Saccharomyces cerevisiae S288C: one gene and its partner. The protein of the gene in region 1 purifies or fractionates together with the protein of each later gene. This does not show direct contact. Each region holds a gene or a part of one and is shown on either strand. Other genes may lie near its edges. The genes, in order: ENO1 and TDH1.

Region 1 (3,747 bases):
GTTTAGACATTGGCTCTTCATTGAGCTTAGAACCCTTTTGGGCAGAAAGATATCCGTCGAACAACGTTCTATTAGGAATGGCGGATAAATTATTTAAATTATATCACACTAATTTTCCTCCTGTGGTAGCCCTAAGAACTTTTGGTTTGAATCTGACGAATAAGATCGGTCCAGTTAAGAATATGATCATTGACACATTAGGAGGAAATGAGAAATGAGAGGTATGTAAATAGAAATAGACTAGCTCCACTTTTAAGAATTATTTATGCAATTAAATACATGGGTGACCAAAAGAGCGGGCGGATACACGCGTCACCACAAGCAGAATAAAAGGTAAACCTGAAATTGTTTTAACATAAAATGAAAAATGCTTGTTTGCAACCCTATATAGAATCATAAAACATTCGTGACTATAAAATGAATAAACTAAACTATTCTAAGAAAATGAAATAAATGACAAAAAAACGTGTTTTTTGGACTAGAAGGCTTAATCAAAAGCTTTATAATTTGTCACCGTGGTGGAAGTTTTCACCAGCGAAAACAGCGTTGTCACCTAATTCTTCTTCGATTCTCAACAATTGGTTCAATTTAGCCAATCTTTCGGATCTAGCTGGAGCACCAGTCTTGATTTGACCAGTTCTCAAACCGACGACCAAGTCAGCAATGAAAGTGTCTTCAGTTTCACCAGATCTGTGGGAAACCATAACACCCCAACCGGCAGCGAAAGAGTCTTGAGCAGCCTTGATGGATTCAGACAAGGTACCGATTTGGTTGACCTTCAACAACAAAGCGTCGGCAGCCTTCTTTTCGATAGCGGTAGCAATTCTCTTTGGGTTGGTGACAGTCAAGTCATCAGCAACAATTTGAATACCAGCGGTCTTGAAGAAGTGAGACCAAGCTTCCCAGTCATCTTCAGCAAATGGATCTTCGATGGAGACAATTGGGTATCTCTTCATCAAGGAGTGGTACAAGTCAGCCAATTGAGGACCAGTCAACCACTTGGATTTGTCAGAGTTTGGATTCTTGAAGTCCAAGTCGTACTTACCGTCCTTGAAGAATTCAGAGGAAGCACAGTCCAAACCGATCTTGATCTTACCGTCGTGACCAGCAGCCTTGATAGCGTCAACAATCAAGTCCAAAGCTTCTTCAGCAGTTTGAATGTTTGGAGCAACACCACCTTCGTCACCGACGTTACCGGCAGAAGCACCGTATCTCTTCTTGGTCAAAGACTTCAAGTTGTGGTAAACTTCGGAACCAATTCTCAAAGCTTCAGCGAAGGTCTTAGCACCAGTTGGAGCAATCATAAATTCTTGCAAAGCCAAAGCACCACCAGCGTGGGAACCACCGTTCAAAACGTTCAAGAATGGAACTGGCAAAACGTATGGAGAGGTCTTGGACTTAGACAAGTCAGCCAAGTGCTTGTATAATGGGACATTCTTTTCAGCAGCGGCAGCTCTGGAAGCAGCCAAAGAAACACCCAAGATAGCGTTAGCACCCAACTTGGATTTGTTGGCAGTACCGTCCAAAGAAATCAAGAAGTCATCGACGGCCTTTTGGTCCTTAACATCAATGTTAGCCTTAACGAAAGCTGGAGCAATGACATCGTTGACGTTCTTAACAGCGTGCAAAACACCCTTACCCATCCACTTGGATTTGTCACCATCTCTCATTTCCAAAGCTTCGTGGACACCGGTAGAAGCACCAGATGGGACAATGGATCTGAAAACACCCTTTTCGGTGGTTAATTCGACTTCGACGGTTGGGTTACCACGGGAGTCGTAGACGGATCTAGCGTAAACTTTAGAGACAGCCATTTTGATTTAGTGTTTGTGTGTTGATAAGCAGTTGCTTGGTTTTTTATGAAAAATAGCTAGAAGGAATAAGGGATTACAAGAGAGATGTTACAAGAAAGAAGTAAAATAAATTTGATTAATATTGCCATTATCAAAAGCTATTTATATGTTGAAATCGTGGAGATCATGTGTGCCAGAAAAGGCCACAGTTTCCGGGGAGAGGCATACCTTGAGGTGGCTAGGAATCACGGAGACCTCTTGACTTGCAGGGTAGGCTAGCTAGAATTAAGTGAGGTGACAAGGTTTCCATACAGTTTTGACCTTGAGACGTTGCTACTTACGATTTGCAGTATGCAAGTCTCATGCTGCAAACAAAAGAGGACCGCTCAGGTAATCGCTCAATTAGTGGACGTTATCAGGGGCGGGAGAGGCGAAAGTGGTTTTTGGTGGTGTAAGTAAAGGTCGTCCAAATATGCAGGTGTTTGGGTGCTATCCTAGTGGAAGCTCGGATCAGTAGATAACCCGCCTAGAAGCGGTATTTTTCTTTTTTTTTCTTCCTTCTTTTTCGTCATTATTTCAAACGCTTTTGCGTCAAGTAATGAATATCTGGCGGTTCCGCGGTAATGCGACAATTTGTGATATGCACTCTTAAAACCCCGCCACGATGATCGCACGTGCCGGCATTTATAGACGACTTTTCTGGTTGTCCCGCTTCACGGCACATGCATGCATCAATGACCGAATTCAGGTTGCTACTAACCATTGTGTTGTGTTATTGCTGTGCATGAGGTGCTCAAGTGCCCGCGGCATCTGACTAGTGGTAACTCTAGACGGCTTCGATGCAGAGAGTTCCTCAAAATTTTTCTTTTCAATTGTTTGCCTGGTTTCCGCGGCGTATATCAGTTTTTGGCGATATGGTAACGCGATACTCTACGGCACCTTCACGGTAGATGTCTTTTTTAAAAGTGACTGTTAATTCCAGGATTGAAAGGAAGTGTCGAATAGTATAGTATGCTTTCTACACTTATAGTACACTACTAGGTGTATCAGATCAATTGGCCCTTGATAAAAAGCGCTGAGGAAGGAAGGATTCCTATTTTGACATAGCTTTCAATATAGGGCCATTTATATCCATGTTATATATACAATATACTTATGTGTCAATTATTAGAATTGTTGAAGACATTTGTAGGTGAGAAAGTTTCTTGTTTGTCGAGAAGAATTTGAGTCATAATCTTTATATCAAATAACTCTGGATAAGTGCTGTGCATTTCAATAACATGTTGTAATTACTATATATTAATGAAGATAAAAGCTCAGGTTCATCGCATGTGGCGCTATAATGCTTTTTATTTGATAATGTTCCACTTGTATTTTTTTTTTTTTTTAAAAAAATTATCTTTTTTTATAAAGTATGTGAGAAAGAAATAACAAAACATGAACTTTTTTCAAGAATAATGTAGCCCAAAAAGTAAAAAAGGACACTTTTGCAACTACTGCTGAAGACTTTTTACTGAAATGAATTGACTATCAAACATATTATAAGCCAAGCATAGATGAAAGTACGCCGATTTTTTATTAAGCGTGCAAACATGAATGTAGCCCAAGTCCGTAAGGATAATTTAGTGCTTAAATTAAATAAATCACTATTCACGAAAATATTTTTGAAATTTCATTATACAGGGTTATCATAAACCAAGACCGGTGGCAAAAGAGTAACCTAGGAAATTGGACAAGAGAGCGCTATAACTATAGAATACAAGTCAATAAGAACATAAATTCCAATTGTCTAATATAACTAGAAAGGATGTTCTTAACTAGAAGTGAATATGATCGTGGTGTAAGCACATTTTCCCCAGAAGGGAGGTTATTCCAAGTTGAGTATTCTTTGGAGGCCATCAAATTAGGATCTACAGCAATTGGTATTGCCACGAAAGAAGGTGTTGTACTAGGT
Region 2 (5,338 bases), on another chromosome or scaffold:
TCAAGTTTTGCCGATATCACATTCAAATAATGAGCCCAAGCCTGTTAGATTGGATATAGGTATAGAAAATTGCCTTCACATTGAGTTTGAATATGCCAAATCCCAGTACAGCTTAAAAGAAGTCATTGTGGGGCGTATATATTTCCTTTTAACGAGACTAAGGATAAAACATATGGAATTAAGCTTGATCACAAGAGAATCTTCCGGCCTACAAACTTCTAATGTAATGACAGATTCCACTGCTATCCGATACGAAATAATGGATGGGTCTTCAGTGAAAGGTGAAACCATACCCATAAGATTATTCTTGAGCGGCTATGACCTGACGCCCAATATGAGCTGCAACTACTTTAACGTCAAGAATTATTTGAGCTTGGTTATTATCGATGAAGATGGCAGAAGATATTTTAAACAATCAGAAATAACATTGTACAGGACCCGGTAGAAAAGCTCGACCTTAAATAAGGTGAAGATGTGGTTCTCTGTTCTTTCAACATCTCGATATTTAACTTTTCGTTTGGCATTATAGTGTTATACATAACAATATCTAGATTTCAGTAGAAGACTTTTGCGTAAGTTATAACGAACTAAACAAGCAAGAGGTAAAATACGATATAGTAAGAAGCTCAAGTGCTAAAACTTTTTTTCTCTACGAAAGGAGGAATAGCATATGGTTTTCTTCCCTTTTACAGTGCTTCGGAAAAGCACAGCGTTGTCCAAGGGAACAATTTTTCTTCAAGTTAATGCATAAGAAATATCTTTTTTTATGTTTAGCTAAGTAAAAGCAGCTTGGAGTAAAAAAAAAAATGAGTAAATTTCTCGATGGATTAGTTTCTCACAGGTAACATAACAAAAACCAAGAAAAGCCCGCTTCTGAAAACTACAGTTGACTTGTATGCTAAAGGGCCAGACTAATGGGAGGAGAAAAAGAAACGAATGTATATGCTCATTTACACTCTATATCACCATATGGAGGATAAGTTGGGCTGAGCTTCTGATCCAATTTATTCTATCCATTAGTTGCTGATATGTCCCACCAGCCAACACTTGATAGTATCTACTCGCCATTCACTTCCAGCAGCGCCAGTAGGGTTGTTGAGCTTAGTAAAAATGTGCGCACCACAAGCCTACATGACTCCACGTCACATGAAACCACACCGTGGGGCCTTGTTGCGCTAGGAATAGGATATGCGACGAAGACGCTTCTGCTTAGTAACCACACCACATTTTCAGGGGGTCGATCTGCTTGCTTCCTTTACTGTCACGAGCGGCCCATAATCGCGCTTTTTTTTTAAAAGGCGCGAGACAGCAAACAGGAAGCTCGGGTTTCAACCTTCGGAGTGGTCGCAGATCTGGAGACTGGATCTTTACAATACAGTAAGGCAAGCCACCATCTGCTTCTTAGGTGCATGCGACGGTATCCACGTGCAGAACAACATAGTCTGAAGAAGGGGGGGAGGAGCATGTTCATTCTCTGTAGCAGTAAGAGCTTGGTGATAATGACCAAAACTGGAGTCTCGAAATCATATAAATAGACAATATATTTTCACACAATGAGATTTGTAGTACAGTTCTATTCTCTCTCTTGCATAAATAAGAAATTCATCAAGAACTTGGTTTGATATTTCACCAACACACACAAAAAACAGTACTTCACTAAATTTACACACAAAACAAAATGATCAGAATTGCTATTAACGGTTTCGGTAGAATCGGTAGATTGGTCTTGAGATTGGCTTTGCAAAGAAAAGACATTGAGGTTGTTGCTGTCAACGATCCATTTATCTCTAACGATTATGCTGCTTACATGGTCAAGTACGATTCTACTCATGGTAGATACAAGGGTACTGTTTCCCATGACGACAAGCACATCATCATTGATGGTGTCAAGATCGCTACCTACCAAGAAAGAGACCCAGCTAACTTGCCATGGGGTTCTCTAAAGATCGATGTCGCTGTTGACTCCACTGGTGTTTTCAAGGAATTGGACACCGCTCAAAAGCACATTGACGCTGGTGCCAAGAAGGTTGTCATCACTGCTCCATCTTCTTCTGCTCCAATGTTTGTTGTTGGTGTTAACCACACTAAATACACTCCAGACAAGAAGATTGTCTCCAACGCTTCTTGTACCACCAACTGTTTGGCTCCATTGGCCAAGGTTATCAACGATGCTTTCGGTATTGAAGAAGGTTTGATGACCACTGTTCACTCCATGACCGCCACTCAAAAGACTGTTGATGGTCCATCCCACAAGGACTGGAGAGGTGGTAGAACCGCTTCCGGTAACATTATCCCATCCTCTACCGGTGCTGCTAAGGCTGTCGGTAAGGTCTTGCCAGAATTGCAAGGTAAGTTGACCGGTATGGCTTTCAGAGTCCCAACCGTCGATGTTTCCGTTGTTGACTTGACTGTCAAGTTGGAAAAGGAAGCTACTTACGACCAAATCAAGAAGGCTGTTAAGGCTGCCGCTGAAGGTCCAATGAAGGGTGTTTTGGGTTACACCGAAGATGCCGTTGTCTCCTCTGATTTCTTGGGTGACACTCACGCTTCCATCTTCGATGCCTCCGCTGGTATCCAATTGTCTCCAAAGTTCGTCAAGTTGATTTCCTGGTACGATAACGAATACGGTTACTCCGCCAGAGTTGTTGACTTGATCGAATATGTTGCCAAGGCTTAAATAAAGCAATCTTGATGAGGATAATGATTTTTTTTTGAATATACATAAATACTACCGTTTTTCTGCTAGATTTTGTGAAGACGTAAATAAGTACATATTACTTTTTAAGCCAAGACAAGATTAAGCATTAACTTTACCCTTTTCTCTTCTAAGTTTCAATACTAGTTATCACTGTTTAAAAGTTATGGCGAGAACGTCGGCGGTTAAAATATATTACCCTGAACGTGGTGAATTGAAGTTCTAGGATGGTTTAAAGATTTTTCCTTTTTGGGAAATAAGTAAACAATATATTGCTGCCTTTGCAAAACGCACATACCCACAATATGTGACTATTGGCAAAGAACGCATTATCCTTTGAAGAGGTGGATACTGATACTAAGAGAGTCTCTATTCCGGCTCCACTTTTAGTCCAGAGATTACTTGTCTTCTTACGTATCAGAACAAGAAAGCATTTCCAAAGTAATTGCATTTGCCCTTGAGCAGTATATATATACTAAGAAAGGAATCATACTCTCTTATGTGCCATAATTCTGTTAGGAGCGGAAATAAGGCTGGTTTTTTGGGGATCAAGTTCGGAAGTGCTCTTCTCTCAATTGCCACAGGTGCCATTGCTATCGCATTGCTATGCAAGTTCCACGACCACGAAGCGGTACTGATAGTTATTGTATGCTCGACATTGTTATATGGAATACCGTCACTGATATCGTTTATCACAGAGACTGTTTTTGCGCCTAGCAAGTTTCATATTGGATACTTTTACAACGTTCTTAATTTTGCATTGCCACTGATCACCATGGGCTGCACAGTGGACTATTTTCATAATACCTTGAGGAGCCCAATATCGGTACAAAGCGAGTCTCACAGAGTCTATATAACAACTCTGGATTCTTTGTTAATTTTCACACTTTTCATTAATGGCATACAATTAGGATTCTTCCTGAAGGATGGCAATGCGAACAATTTCGGCAGCTCATCTAACAATATTAGTACGGATCAATATGACAAAGAAGCAAATGCGGTGGAAAATGGTAGATTTGTACCCCTTAAGAACTCTTCACAGACCTTAACACCAGATTTGGAATTATTACACGGTAGTCCCAAGAGTATGAATGGGGTAGCGTGGCTGATTAATGAACTCTCCACAAATTCAAACACAAACGCAAACAAAACCATATCATCCGATGAAAATTCAAACTCTTCAGTTATTCGACACAAATTAGGACCGATTAGCACCAGCAAGTGTCCTAAAAAGCCATCTCATTCGCATTTTTCTAAATTGAAAAAATATAACAGTTTCTTTTTGGGTCCTAAAGAAAATCGATACAAAAGAAATACACAACAAGCTACTAAGGTTCCGACAGAAAAGAAAAGCAACCACCGAAGTAGCCAGTATGTATCCAGACTATCAACCATATCTGACATCTCGAAAAGTTTCCTGAATTTCTTAGCATTAAACGAAAAAAACGGGAATTCGACTTCCACTGCGAGAACACCAAGTGAAGGAAGAGTTTCAATAATAATTAACGAAGGAAATAATACTTTGAAATACAAAACTCCCCATGATTCGCATACTATTGATTCTCCAAACTTGGAGTTAGAAAGAGAAGCTATTGGGAGAATTAATAGTGCCTTACTTCCTGCATGTTTGAGAGTAACAGATAAAATGATATCCCCACAGCAAAGCACTCAAAATGAGGACTCATACCAAGCAACACCATTGATACCCCAGGTGGAAGTTGACGATGATTTCTATGTAGGTGATATCTTAATGACTAATGAACTACAAGACATTCCACAAGTCCCAAGGATATCATCTGATATAGAAGACGATTTCGAACAACAATATACCAAACACGTGGATTTGCCAGCCCGTGTCACTTTAGAGATGTGGGAAAAGGATCAGGAGAAAATACTTCAAAAAGTAACCACAAACCGGGATAAAAGCAAATTACTACCCCCTTTCAGATTCACCTCTGAAAGTGATATGGATCCAAGTACATCCACCGAATTGGAAGTTGAACTGCATGCCCAAAACAACTTCAGCTTTCCCTTTAAAAGTGCAGGATTACAAATTGCTACATCAGACCAATTTAACCAACAGGAGTTTAAAACTTCAGATACTATTAGCGAACTAGATGAGTATTTACATGATCCCAGCATTCAAGAAGAGGATGCAAGTCAGCTGATTGAAAGCAGTTTGAACCAAAACAACCTATCCTCAACTACTATTGACAATGGCCCAAAGGATATGAGTAGATTTAGTACAAGGCATTCACCAACCAAATCGATAATTTCCATGATCAGTGGATCAGGAAGTGTCAAGCACCAACATTCACACAGCACCCTAAGCAACTTTTTTACGGGTCATTCAAGAAACAATTCTCAAATAAATCAGCTATTACAGGGTTCTTCTTCTAATATGATGTCCAACACCTCACCGCATTCATCTCCAACCAAGTCGTTGAGAATGAGATTTGGAAAGAAATTGTCATTATCAAATATCTCTGATACAATGTCGCCATATGAGGGTAGTACAACAGATCCGATAAACTACTCGTTTGGCCATGGTCACAATAAAAACCAGAGTATTGATTTTAGCTACGTACGTACTTTGCAAAGCAGTCATTCACCTACAAAATCAACCTCGGGAAATTCTCGTCG

What was found.
Region 2: the proteins of ENO1 (region 1) and TDH1 purify together in Saccharomyces cerevisiae (affinity purification with mass spectrometry; 2 studies listed by BioGRID, with this or other methods). This does not show direct contact.

Annotation. Positions count from the first base shown.
Region 1 is NC_001139.9:998,994-1,002,740, reverse strand, and holds ENO1 (phosphopyruvate hydratase ENO1), read right to left. Parts: upstream 1,815-3,747; coding exon 501-1,814; downstream 1-500. Other genes in the region: putative N,N-dimethylaniline monooxygenase COQ6, read left to right, coding at 1-218; PUP2 (proteasome core particle subunit alpha 5), read left to right, coding at 3,601-3,747.
Region 2 is NC_001142.9:336,593-341,930, forward strand, and holds TDH1 (glyceraldehyde-3-phosphate dehydrogenase (phosphorylating) TDH1), read left to right. Parts: upstream 1-1,678; coding exon 1,679-2,677; downstream 2,678-5,338. Other genes in the region: retromer subunit PEP8, read left to right, coding at 1-445; YJL052C-A (uncharacterized protein), read right to left, coding at 1,292-1,411; IRC8 (Irc8p), read left to right, coding at 3,195-5,338. UniProt on the Saccharomyces cerevisiae protein: Glyceraldehyde-3-phosphate dehydrogenase (GAPDH) involved in glycolysis and gluconeogenesis. Catalyzes the reaction of glyceraldehyde-3-phosphate to 1,3 bis-phosphoglycerate.